Linked DNA regions of Bombyx mori. The protein of the gene in region 3 binds, or shares a complex with, the protein of the main gene of each other region. Links are inferred from orthologs where the notes say so. Each region holds a gene or a part of one and is shown on either strand. Other genes may lie near its edges.

Region 1 (4,245 bases), on a different chromosome or scaffold from region 3:
CACGCTGCTCTTGGGACTCTTTGACTATAGCTATTCCGCGAAATGTTTAGTCTAGGCACGGAATATTACTTATTATCTGGCTCAGTAAACATATTTAAAACAAAATGCTATACAATAATACTATATTTGGCTCTTTTGGTTGACAAGGTTGCAGATAAAGGTCTAGATGACAAGAATAATACACGGCTCCATAATGTTAAGTAATTATTGGAGCCTATACATTACAACATAAATGCATACAGGAATTTGTACCGTGTACTTGAAGCCTAGAAATCTTGGTAGATCCCAGATATTTTTCAGTAGAAATAGGCATAACAGTTACCAATGTATGGAGACTCAAAACACCTTTTCAGTAATGTGATTCATTCAAATAAATACTTGTAAAAATGTTCTCCTATAAATTTAGATAAAATACATATTTCCTGTTTTTAATGTAATACAAATTAATTTACTTTAAATGCCAGCTAGGCCTTCAAAAACAACTAATGAGTACATATCAAATTAAGGAAAATAAGGTAGAATAAGTCCAAGTGATGTTATATAATCTAAATATAAATAAGGAATTCAGTACCTTTGTCATCTCTGGTTGTCAATCTGTTTTTTTTAATTGGCGATAGACTGAATAATTTACTTATTTATTACACTTCATGTAAAATTTACAATGGGAGACTTAATGCCTAAGGCATTCTCTACCAGACAACCAAAGGTAGTGCCGAGAAAATAGTGGTAGGTGCAACAAAATAATATTAACCTTATCAACATAATTTAGAAATTATCAATTGTTTTTCTCTAAATTTCAATAAACAAAGAAAATAAATATTTAAAAAAACAAAATAACACTGAGGTTTCAGTAATTTTAGTAAAATTTCAACCACAGCATAAACAAAACTGCTAATAGATTATCCAGTTGTGTATAAATATATATTAATAAACAATACTTCCAATACTTCTTCAGCATCAATCTGTAGTGGTAGAATCTTCAGCTAAATTCTTAATTAACTGTCCCCTTATTTAATCTCCCCCATTGAGAGTACTGGTGATATAAAAACCTCTACCCTTACAGGTTAGTATTGCTTTTCATCCCATTGCTGTTGCTATTATGCGTTTCTGTTTCATGGATAGGATACCCATTATTTTAATATAATTTAGATTTAGACTATACCTCAAGGCAGGGCACATCATTCATGTTGTGATAAGTTTGAACTCTTAGTAACTGATACCATCAGATAAACCATAATATCAACGTGTTTCCCGAACTTTATGACATGTCCTCCTTCAAACGAGGCTTGTGGGAGAATTAAGTAGTAGGCAGCAACTTGGCTCTGCCCCTGGCATTGCTGAAGTCCATGGGCAACGGTAACCACTCACCATTAGGTCGGCCGTAAGCTGGTTTGCCTACAAGGGCAATAAAAAATATATATATTCTCCACATCTCTTCCATTATAAGGAAAAAAACAAAATTTAAATATCTTTGTGTAATTACCTGACTCTGGTTCAGTAAGAAGGGGTCCATACACCCTCTTGAGGAGCTCATCTGCTCCATGTTCTTCTAATTGCTTGTAGAACTTCAAAGATATACTAACCTAAAATAATATTTTTGTAATTATGTACATTTTATGAGTCTAAGCTTGAAGGTCTGTTGATATTTAATTTTAAACATAATTCTATTTATTCTTCATAGAATTTTTTTTAGGTTTAGCAACATTTCCTCCAGGTGTTTTTCCAAATTTTTCAAATAACAAACCTATTTTCTCACCTCATTCAGCTACTGATTTTTACATTTTTAATTGCTAGATTTATGTTTTGTGTTTATATGTTTTATTGACATTTTTATTCAAACCAATAACAAAACAATTTTAAACATAAAACTACACATTACTAGTTAATATGACATCATTGTATTGAGTTTCTTTGATTTAACTATCACTTATCAAGTCATACATACCCTAACTTTGGTTTTGTCTCCATTGACATTGGATATATGGAATAATACTCCATCAAAATCAGCTACAGTAACATCTATTGACTCAGGCTTTAAGCTGAAAACAGAAGGGGATAAAAATAAACACTTATTTATTGAATAAATTAGTCATATCCTCTTAGTAGCGACATTTGGTATCAGTTTCGGTGCATTGTTTACGGGCAATATGGTCATTGGAATTCTAAGCCTTTATATGGGATATTTCCGCAGACAAAAATATGTGGCACTTATAAACAACCGATATGACTCATCCAAGTCGTGATAGGCACTAACGCGTCACTGTGACCGTGACACATTAGAATTTAATTCCAATAATACCTGTTCTCTGACACTAAGTGCACAATTCACTTGGTATTTGTACTCCAGCCGTCAACGTGGGACCACCCCCAGTGAATCTTGACACTTGTCAAGTCCTCCCCTGGAGGGGTTATGCCCAGGATACAATCTTTATAGGAGTCATCATCATAATGACTATTAAAATTTAAATAACTACCGTAAACAGTGTACTCGATAAATTGATTCTAATCACGAAAAAAACAGTAACTTTCTAGTGTAACGTACTCACCGCGCCAGTGCATTTTTATATTTAACCGTTAGTGTTTCTTCTATAATTCTATTATTGATCTCGAGTAAGATCATTATTCAACAATTTATAACCTACAGATATTTCATAAAATCAACGCCTAGAGCACCTTCATTTAATTTTTTTAAGTAAGAATTTTTACGATGACCGCCCGTGCGTATAGACAACCAAAAACGACAGAGAAAAGAAACGAAAAAATTTAATGAAATTCGACAAGCAACCATAGAGTGTAAATTGAATATATGAACGAGAGCTTAAAAAGTTCTTAGATTTTAGTGGAAACTAAAATGACAATTATCTACAAAATGAAGACAATATACATACATATAAACAATTTTTAATAAAAAATTCACGATGCAAGCGAAGCTTACATCAGCCTAAATTCTTAGGAATATAATGACATGTCATTGATTTTTTTGAACTCGTAAATTATTGCAGTCCTTTTGTTACTACTTTTTCCTATATTTTATTATTTTTTGATGAATTGTTTGAGAAAAATATTAAACATCATAAAAAAAAGTGTGCTTGTGTGGTAAAAACTTAACCTTTACGTCGGTTATGTCAAAAACCAGAATATGGGTCTTTTTTGTCTTAACTGAAAACTACGCCTAAAAGCAGAGTGAAGTTATCAAGATTCAGCAACATACTTTTTATCTCCTTTAGCCCCATTGAGTTTCTTGCTGGATCTTCTCAGTGTGTGGCACTTCTGATTTAGTGGTAGATTCAGCGAATTACTGCTGCTCGGGCAGCTGGTAACAAACTCCACTCTTCCTGGCTGAGTCCGTACTCACTCAGATCTTTTGGTGAAACTAAAAAGGTAACTGGCCGCAAGTAATCCTTCCTTCTTAAAAAAGAAGTCTATTGAACTCTCAAAAAGAATTATCATTATACTGAGAGGTTGTGGACAGCATTTCATTTCACCTGATTCCTTTCATTTCATTAAGATTTTACATCAAAGAGTATATTTTCCTTTAGCACCATTCGGCTTTTGGTAAAATGTTAATTATTCAAATTACTAATTTTTCCAAGCCCACTGAGTTTCTCGCCGGATCTTCTCAGTGGGTCGCGTTTCCGATCCGGTGGTAGATTCTGCGAAGCACTGCTCTTGCTAGGGTCAGTGCTAGCAACTCTCCGGTTGAGCCCCGCGAGCTCGCCTACAAACGTTAGGGCGAAGCTGAAATAGCCTCTCAAGACTATCAGCATAGGCAAGGTTAAAAAAAAATAAAAAATTATCCAAACACACTACTTGACTTGTATGAGTTATTTTCCCTTTGCCCATTCATTGAACGAATCAAAGAAAAAATATGTATTCTGGCCATATTCTACTGTATTCTACTTATTAACTCCATGATTCTGGCTGCTGTCTTGTCAACTATTTTTCGTTCTTTCGTATCTGTAGGTAGTTATCTCAAATATACTAAGTGTATAATCTATGGATAGGTATATTATCTATGGTCAATAGAACAGACAAGGCTGGGCTTAGATTCCCTTGCCTTTCCTAATAAGGAAAAGTTGTACCAAAAAAATAATCTATGGTCAGTAATACCGTTTGTTTTGGTTTGTTTTCTAACATCGTCACCTGGTGCTTCTTTATTTGGTTCATTTAATTTCTTAGGTTGCTTATTTTAGCAATACTTTGGATAGTGATTGTTGTGTCAGATTTATTTTTGTGACAATTATA
Region 2 (3,011 bases), on a different chromosome or scaffold from region 3:
AGAGTTTCTCAATGTCTAATCGTCTAATATTCTCATAAAGCTAAAAGTTGCTCTAAATTAATACTACAACGTAAAATAACTCACACCAAGACCAAAAAAAAACGATTTAAAAAATTAAATCGTTACGACATTTTGAAAACTTTTTTTTTTTTTGAGATTGTTTTACGGCCCTGGAATTTTGAAAACTTCAAAGCAGTGTTTCCACTTACGTTTTTTTTAACACATTTTACCCTAGTTTCTTTTGAATTTACCCTAAAATTTCCTAGACAACTTTCATAAATCCTTTATATAGAAAGCGTAAATAAAATACAGAAAATAAACCACAGCATATTATTTAATGTAGGTATATATAATATAAACGCCCCCAGAAGATCATAGATCTATAGGATTAGAATTTTCAAGGAAGTCGACGCATTGCTTTTATATTCTTTTGCTGCACAACCTAACACTGTTCGGTTCTAAAATTGAGCAATTGTTTGCTGGCAAAGTTGGGAACTTTCTATGAAGCAAGCCGTTCAGGGTTTCATTAGAAAGCCTGTTTCTTTTGTCAGTTTTTAAATTTGAGAACACTGAATAATCTTTCCACCTCAGTCTTTGAAGAAGGAACTGCTAGCAAAAGTGAAATGACAATTACAAGGTTTCGTAAATGAAATTACCATGATAATCTTTCATGGTACATGAAGTACCTGTATATTACAATACAAGTAAGTTCTGGTGACATCAACGAAAATAGGTAAATAAAAATTTGGCGGATTATACTTATTGGGATTCTGGGGAATCCCTAAGAAAAAGCAGTGGCTTAATCTATGATTTACTTTACTAGAAGGTTACTGTTGAATCAAACCTTTATAGTTTTTATACACAACTCTGTTTTATTCTTTTACTTGTCAACTCGACTTAATGTCATTCTCTCTCCATAAAATAAAATGTTCATTGTTTTACTTTAATTATCGTTTATTTTAAAATTCACAACAGTTACTAGTATAGGCTTTGCTTTTTACCCCGAAATATCCTAAATCCTGGTATTTTTTAAATTGTCTTTATCATCCAAAATATCAGCTATTTTTCCCTAAAAAAGGGAGAATTCCCTAAAAGTGGAAGCACTGCTTCAAAGTACGCTACATTTTTTATTGAGTCAGAACTCATATATGCCATCTAGTGAGTTTATTAGATCATTAATGCCTAAAAGTTACAAAAATGACGTCGCCACAGGAGTAAGATGACGCTAGTTGTATGTTATTTTCCTTTGTATGGGAGTTGCACCCCCCTGCATTTAAGAGATTTTAGTAAATTCTCTCCACTTTACTGAGATGTTATTTCATTATTTCTCATCCAATACCTACAATTTTACCTTATCTTACCTCAGATTCAATTCCTTAATAATCATTTAATTTTATTTAGTACATTTTCACACAACAACACACTTGGATTTGACTGTATGGCCTACCTTACCTTTGGCTATGTAATGAACGAATCAAACAATGATGCTTATGTCAAATCTGTCATCAATGGTGATAATTCATGACTAAAAAATTGAAAGGAACTTAAGGTGTGGCGTGATCTTTGCGAAAGTTTAATTTTCTACAATGGCTGCAACTTTAAAACCGTATCTAACAGCGGTGCGTCACACGCTCACTGCCGCTATGTGCTTAGAACACTTTTCATCGCAAGTTGTCGAGAAATACACCAAGCCGGAGGTCGAAGTTAGAACAAGCAAAGAACTTTTACTCAATCCTGTTGTTATTTCAAGAAATTCTAATGAAAAAGTATTAATAGAGTCTTCAATAAATTCAATTAGGGTGAGTATTATGATCAAGCAGGCGGATGAGATAGAGAAAATTCTTTGTAAAAAATTTATGCGGTTCATGATGATGAGAGCTGAAAACTTCATTGTATTAAGGAGGAAACCAGTTGATGGGTACCATATCAGCTTTTTGATTACTAACTTCCATACCGAACAGATGTATAAGCATAAATTGGTCGATTTTGTAATATACTTTATGGAAGAAATTGATAAAGAAATCAGTGAAATGAAATTGGCTGTCAATGCAAGAGCCAGAATTTGTTCGGAAGAATTCTTGAAGAGATTTTAACTACTTCTTTCAGTGATAGAATGAAACATCTTTATTGTACATAGAGTATGAATTCATGTGAAAAATTTGTTGCTTTGATGGCTATGTAATTTTAATTAGTGATGGAATTCATATAACCTTCATAGACAAATAAATTGTATCATTACAAAAATGACATTTAAATATGTAATTGTAGAAGAAACTAGATTTTTTCTGAACTTATTCTTTGATAGCCTAAAGGCCTATTCCAGGTAAGCACAGATGGGTAGGTGCTTACAGGCTACAATTGAACTATTAAAAATATTACGTTATTTAGATAGAGGTCAGGGAAAATACATTGCATACAGATATAAAATTTAATGCAGGTCACTGGTGCCCTAAGCGGCGCACTGAAATAATTACGTTGATTTCTGTTACTACACGCCTGGATTACCTAACTTTGCCTTCTTTTGTTTGTTAATGTATATTTTAGACTTTTAGGTCTTCTAAAAGATAGATTTATTCTTAGTACCTGTGAATTAGTCATTTCCAGACTCTACTAGATATTCCGGCACTTTAATATGTAGATCAAAGAGAAAAATCGTCATTATTACGTCAGTGTGCCGCGTAGGGCACCGGTGATTTACATGGCAGTCAACATGTTAATAATTATTGGGGCTTTGTTGACATATTCTATTGTGCTATGTGCTGAGTGTCCTATCTATGACTATTATTATACTACTGGGAGCCCTTTAAGTTCTTTAGTGTAATACCTTTTGACAAAGACAGCATGTTGATTTTGCTCCTTGAATTGTCAATGTCCACATTCCACCATAGACTGTTTGTCGATAGCATGATTGTCTGCTTTCATGGGTAAAAACAATTATTGTAATTTGATATTTGTAAAAAGTAAAAATAGCGTGAATGTTTCTTCCTGTTCTTTTACATTATTATTTTTAT
Region 3 (4,085 bases):
TGATGTAGCTAAATAGATTCTGCGATTCATTTTACGATAACATTATAATGAATTATGAGCAAATTACTGGTAGAACGTCTTGTGAGTTCGCACGGGTAGGTACCACCACCCAGCCTATTTCTGCCGTGAAGCAGTAATGCGTTTCGGTATGAAAGGCGGGGCAGCCGTTGTACTGTTAAAAGTAAGACCTTAGAAGTCATGTCTCAAGGTGGGTGACGGCATTTACGTTGTAGATGTCTATGGGCTCCGGTAACTACTTAACACAAGGTGGGCCGGGCCGTGTGCTTGTACACCAATCTAAGCAATAAAAAAAAAGTGTGTTTGACTTATTTATTTTTGAGTGCAAATTTCCCACTAACAGGAGAGTAAATAACAAACCAGGGTATAAAGTCAAGAAGAAGGCGAAATTGTCAAACACTACAGTGTTTTTTTTTTATTGCTTAGATGGGTGGACGAGCTCACAGCCCACCTAGTGTTAAGTATTTACTGGAGCCCATAGACATCTACAACGTAGATGCGCCACCCACATTGAGATACAAGTTCTAAGGTCTCAGTATAGTTACAACGGCTGCCCCACCCTTCAAACCGAAACGCATTACTGCTTCACGGCAGAAATAGGCAGGGCGGTGGTACCTACTCATGCGGACTCATAAGTGGTCCTACCACCAGTAGAAAGTGTTTTAGTTTATAATCTACACATAGACAAACACTCACAAACAGACACACACGAGTTAAAAATGAAAACATGCCTTGTTTTGTCAACATTTTTAGTTGTGTTTTTAGTAATAAAAGTTGAGTTTGAGTAATCTCAAAATGTAGTGTAATTATTTTTAACATCATATTTTTACAATTTTTGGGACAAGATTTGTTTCAATTATTCATAGGACAGATAGTCTTGAACATGAATACTAAAAAAATTCAACAAATAAATGAATTTTAGAAAAGGATTTTTTGAAAAAAAAATTATATCTAGATTAATTCAAATCAAACAATCACTTAGATGTTTAGAGACTATGGAAGTTAAAGAAATCTAACACTATGTAGATATTCATTATCAATATCAGAGAGACCCCAGTTATACCTGGTTCTGCAGCAATAATATAAGAATACCATTATATCAATGAGATTTTGACTTTATTACTCTTCCAATATGTAGCATCCACTTGACTTCATTTGTCAAATTAAGAATACACCAGAATCCACATTCTCATATCTAGCTTACTCAGTAAAAACTCTATATTAGGTGAACAGTATAACTCTCTTGCCAATGTATATCTTTGAAAGAAGATTTCAATTCTAAAACTTAATTGTATTGGAGTAAAACTAAACAGCATGTAAGATTATCGTATTTAAGGGTAGAGTTCGGTAGATATTCACAAGACACTTTAAGCACACTTAATACATAATATATGTTAGTCCCCTTTTCTCTAGTTTTCATCTCCAAACAGCGCTTCTGAGAATTTGATAACATTATTTGGAGATAACAGTCTATTACAAATTGGATACCTCATGCTTGAGATATCTATTCATTCATATCTTTATAAAGCCACAAAGTATATAATGCTTGGTTTTCACTATTCCAAGTCAGAACCTGCTAATCTGGTAAATACTGGCTTTGCATGGATGTCACTATCACCCTGTGGCAGGTAACCATCATACAAAGCAAGTTGCCTGAATCTCGCTTACAACATTTTCAAGATAAAGTGCATATATACAAGTTCCGAACAACAACATTCGGACCATCGGTCTACCGAGCAATATCACCCGCTCGGTGGAAGATCTTCTCTTTGTCGTTAAGCCTCCCAAAACCCCATTCCTGGACTCTTTAAGTATACGAAGAGACTATTAAAATTCTTAAGCATATCTCAATCTTTTAATAGCCTTCTAACACTCATTGTTTTAGTTCCTATAGCATGCAGTTAGTTTCCAATGGAATAGGCAAACAGACTGTCGATAGACAGTTTGTCCTGAATTTTCTTTCCATATTTTATAATCCAGACTAATTTTTTAAATGAAACCTCTGTTTTGGTTTAAAAAAAGAATCTACTGTTGTTTCAATTGTTAATAATGCATTTAATCATCATCACACATCAGAAAGAAAATTAACGTTAGAACAATAAAACATTCCTAGATGTATTTATATTACTTACACCAATACAAATATCCTGAAAACACAGATCAATATTATAAATAATGAACAGAAATTCCTTTTTGTCTTCCTTGCTGTAACAAGGCTTACAAACTTTTAAGTATTGTAACTATTTTTATAGAGGTAAAATGATTTTATTAATTTTGTTACAAAAGTTTGTCCTTCAGGTTTCTATGTGCTTTACATTAACGTTCATTTGTTCGTAATAGGCCAATAAAAAAATTGTTGTCAACTTAATAATGAGAAAAAGTGTCTTCCACTTACCTTAACATCAATATCTCCTATTTTGTTTTCAGCGCGTATGATCGGCCTGCCGACCATGGAAGGGAATATAAATGCCGGAAAATTGCTACCAGCGAAGCCACATTTCACAAACTGTAATACATCGAAAGGAAAACCGTACGTGATTCAGAGCTTATCTAAAAATTCTAATAGTCTACAAATTTTGTGTTCACTTACGCCGGTACCGTTGTCGCAAACGATAACTTTCCGTCCTTTGTCGTCCATTTTATTTAGTTTTTAATTTATTTTATTAATATTAAAAAGTTATAATGTAATTTGTTTTTTAGAACACTACACAACTCCCCAACTCCCGCAAAGCGGAAAGCAAATCTCACAATTCTGTAAAAATGACAAATCGTTGTCATAAACTATATGCAGTACAAAATACACCTTTAAAGACACTTCGTATAAAGTTTTATTTTGAATGCAAAAATTAAATTCTTGTGTGACACACCTTCTCCTTGAAGTAATTAGTCTTTTTAGCATGTGTATTGAAATATTGTGTTGTCCGTAAAAAAACTGTCAGAATTTTAATTTAGCTATTTCAACCAAATTTAATCATTAATTAACTAACATATTTAATTAATTAAGAAGCAAAATAAAATGTTCATTGTGACTTTATTTGGCTCGTTAAAACTGACTCGTTAGGCCATACTTCAGTGGTTAGGCCCTGACACTGACATTTGACAGCCCAAAGTAATGATTTATCTAATGTCACACAAATGTCATACTTCAAGAAAGGCATGGTTTTGAGAAACGTTTGTTTTCAGGTTTTCACGTGCCTTATTTATATTTAACGTAACATGATACAATAACTTACAATGAAGCATAAAAGATTTGAGGAAAATATATTAATTGATGAGGCTTACACTAATTACGGTCAAGCTGATAAGAACGCAGATGATAAGAAAGGCCAGGGTATCGCAAAGAATTTCGCCGAAAGCCTTGAATATGGTGAAAAAAAGAAATGGTTTCATCAGGTTTGTGATATAGAACATAAGTCTAAATGTTTATTTTCCCTATTTAAAAAAAAGCGTAGGAAATAAGGCTTTAACACATCAATTCAAAATTGTATTTAACCTTTACTATGATTTCGATCGTCCAGTCGTATTAGTAATCGATGCTCATTCTTCTTCTTCTTCGTCGCTTTCTTCATTGCTGAAGGTCGTGTCCCTGAAACTTGACCGTTGCCTGTCTCGTGAGCTGTTTCCATCTCGTCCGGTCCTCAGCTGCTCGAATGGCGGTTGCGACTGGCAACCCAGTTAGAGATACTCATACGATGCTCATACCTAAACACTATAAAAAAAAAGATTTAAAAAAATTGACTAGTGTACCACATCTTAAAGAGTATGAGTTGATCGAAAATATGTTTATGCCAAAGCTTATTTGCTTTAAGAATTGAGTTGGACTATCCAATTCACAGTTAAGTTTTCAACTAATGTGAATTGTATTTTTCAGCTACCTGAAGAACCAGTCACGTTGCCAAAAACATTATCGACAGAACAAATTGAACAATTAAGAAAGGAAGCCACCAGTGCCTTGCACGGTGATACATTAGCTTATGAAACGAGTAAGCATTACTTTTAATTATATGTATGTTCAATTTAGTCGTAGTCTAGGGATGTCTTAGTTTTCTGAGACAATTTATTTCTGC

Evidence for each region.
Region 1: actin-related protein 2 (region 3) and actin-related protein 2/3 complex subunit 2 share a complex: the UniProt entries of both Homo sapiens proteins name them as parts of the arp2/3 complex. The link is inferred for Bombyx mori from reciprocal best matches to the Homo sapiens genes ACTR2 and ARPC2.
Region 2: the proteins of actin-related protein 2 (region 3) and actin related protein 2/3 complex subunit 4 are in contact, whole or in part, in a cryo-EM structure (PDB 6YW6), measured with the Homo sapiens proteins. The link is inferred for Bombyx mori from reciprocal best matches to the Homo sapiens genes ACTR2 and ARPC4. Residues at the interface, in NP_005713.1 of Homo sapiens: Tyr222, Val223, Tyr225, Gln229, Glu230, Lys232, Leu233, Ala234, Leu235, Glu236, Thr237, Thr238, Val239, Lys253, Thr308, Met309, Tyr310, Pro311, Gly312, Pro314, Ser315, Asp346; in NP_005709.1 of Homo sapiens: Val29, Val30, Glu31, Arg32, His33, Lys35, Pro36, Glu39, Val40, Ala98, Glu99, Asn100, Phe102, Ile103, Leu104, Arg105, Arg106, Lys107, Leu117, Thr119.

The regions. Positions count from the first base shown.
Region 1 is NC_085109.1:10,839,412-10,843,656, reverse strand, and holds the start of actin-related protein 2/3 complex subunit 2, read right to left. Parts: upstream 2,939-4,245; 5' UTR 2,621-2,938; coding exon 2,547-2,620; intron 2,040-2,546; coding exon 1,946-2,039; intron 1,584-1,945; coding exon 1,484-1,583; intron 1-1,483. UniProt on the Homo sapiens protein: Actin-binding component of the Arp2/3 complex, a multiprotein complex that mediates actin polymerization upon stimulation by nucleation-promoting factor (NPF).
Region 2 is NC_085122.1:8,792,730-8,795,740, reverse strand, and holds actin related protein 2/3 complex subunit 4, read left to right. Parts: upstream 1-1,518; 5' UTR 1,519-1,586; coding exon 1,587-2,093; 3' UTR 2,094-2,372; downstream 2,373-3,011. UniProt on the Homo sapiens protein: Actin-binding component of the Arp2/3 complex, a multiprotein complex that mediates actin polymerization upon stimulation by nucleation-promoting factor (NPF).
Region 3 is NC_085130.1:7,235,460-7,239,544, forward strand, and holds the start of actin-related protein 2, read right to left. Parts: upstream 2,837-4,085; 5' UTR 2,657-2,836; coding exon 2,609-2,656; intron 2,525-2,608; coding exon 2,414-2,524; intron 1-2,413. Other genes in the region: CCAAT/enhancer-binding protein zeta, read left to right, coding at 3,253-3,411, 3,890-4,001. UniProt on the Homo sapiens protein: ATP-binding component of the Arp2/3 complex, a multiprotein complex that mediates actin polymerization upon stimulation by nucleation-promoting factor (NPF).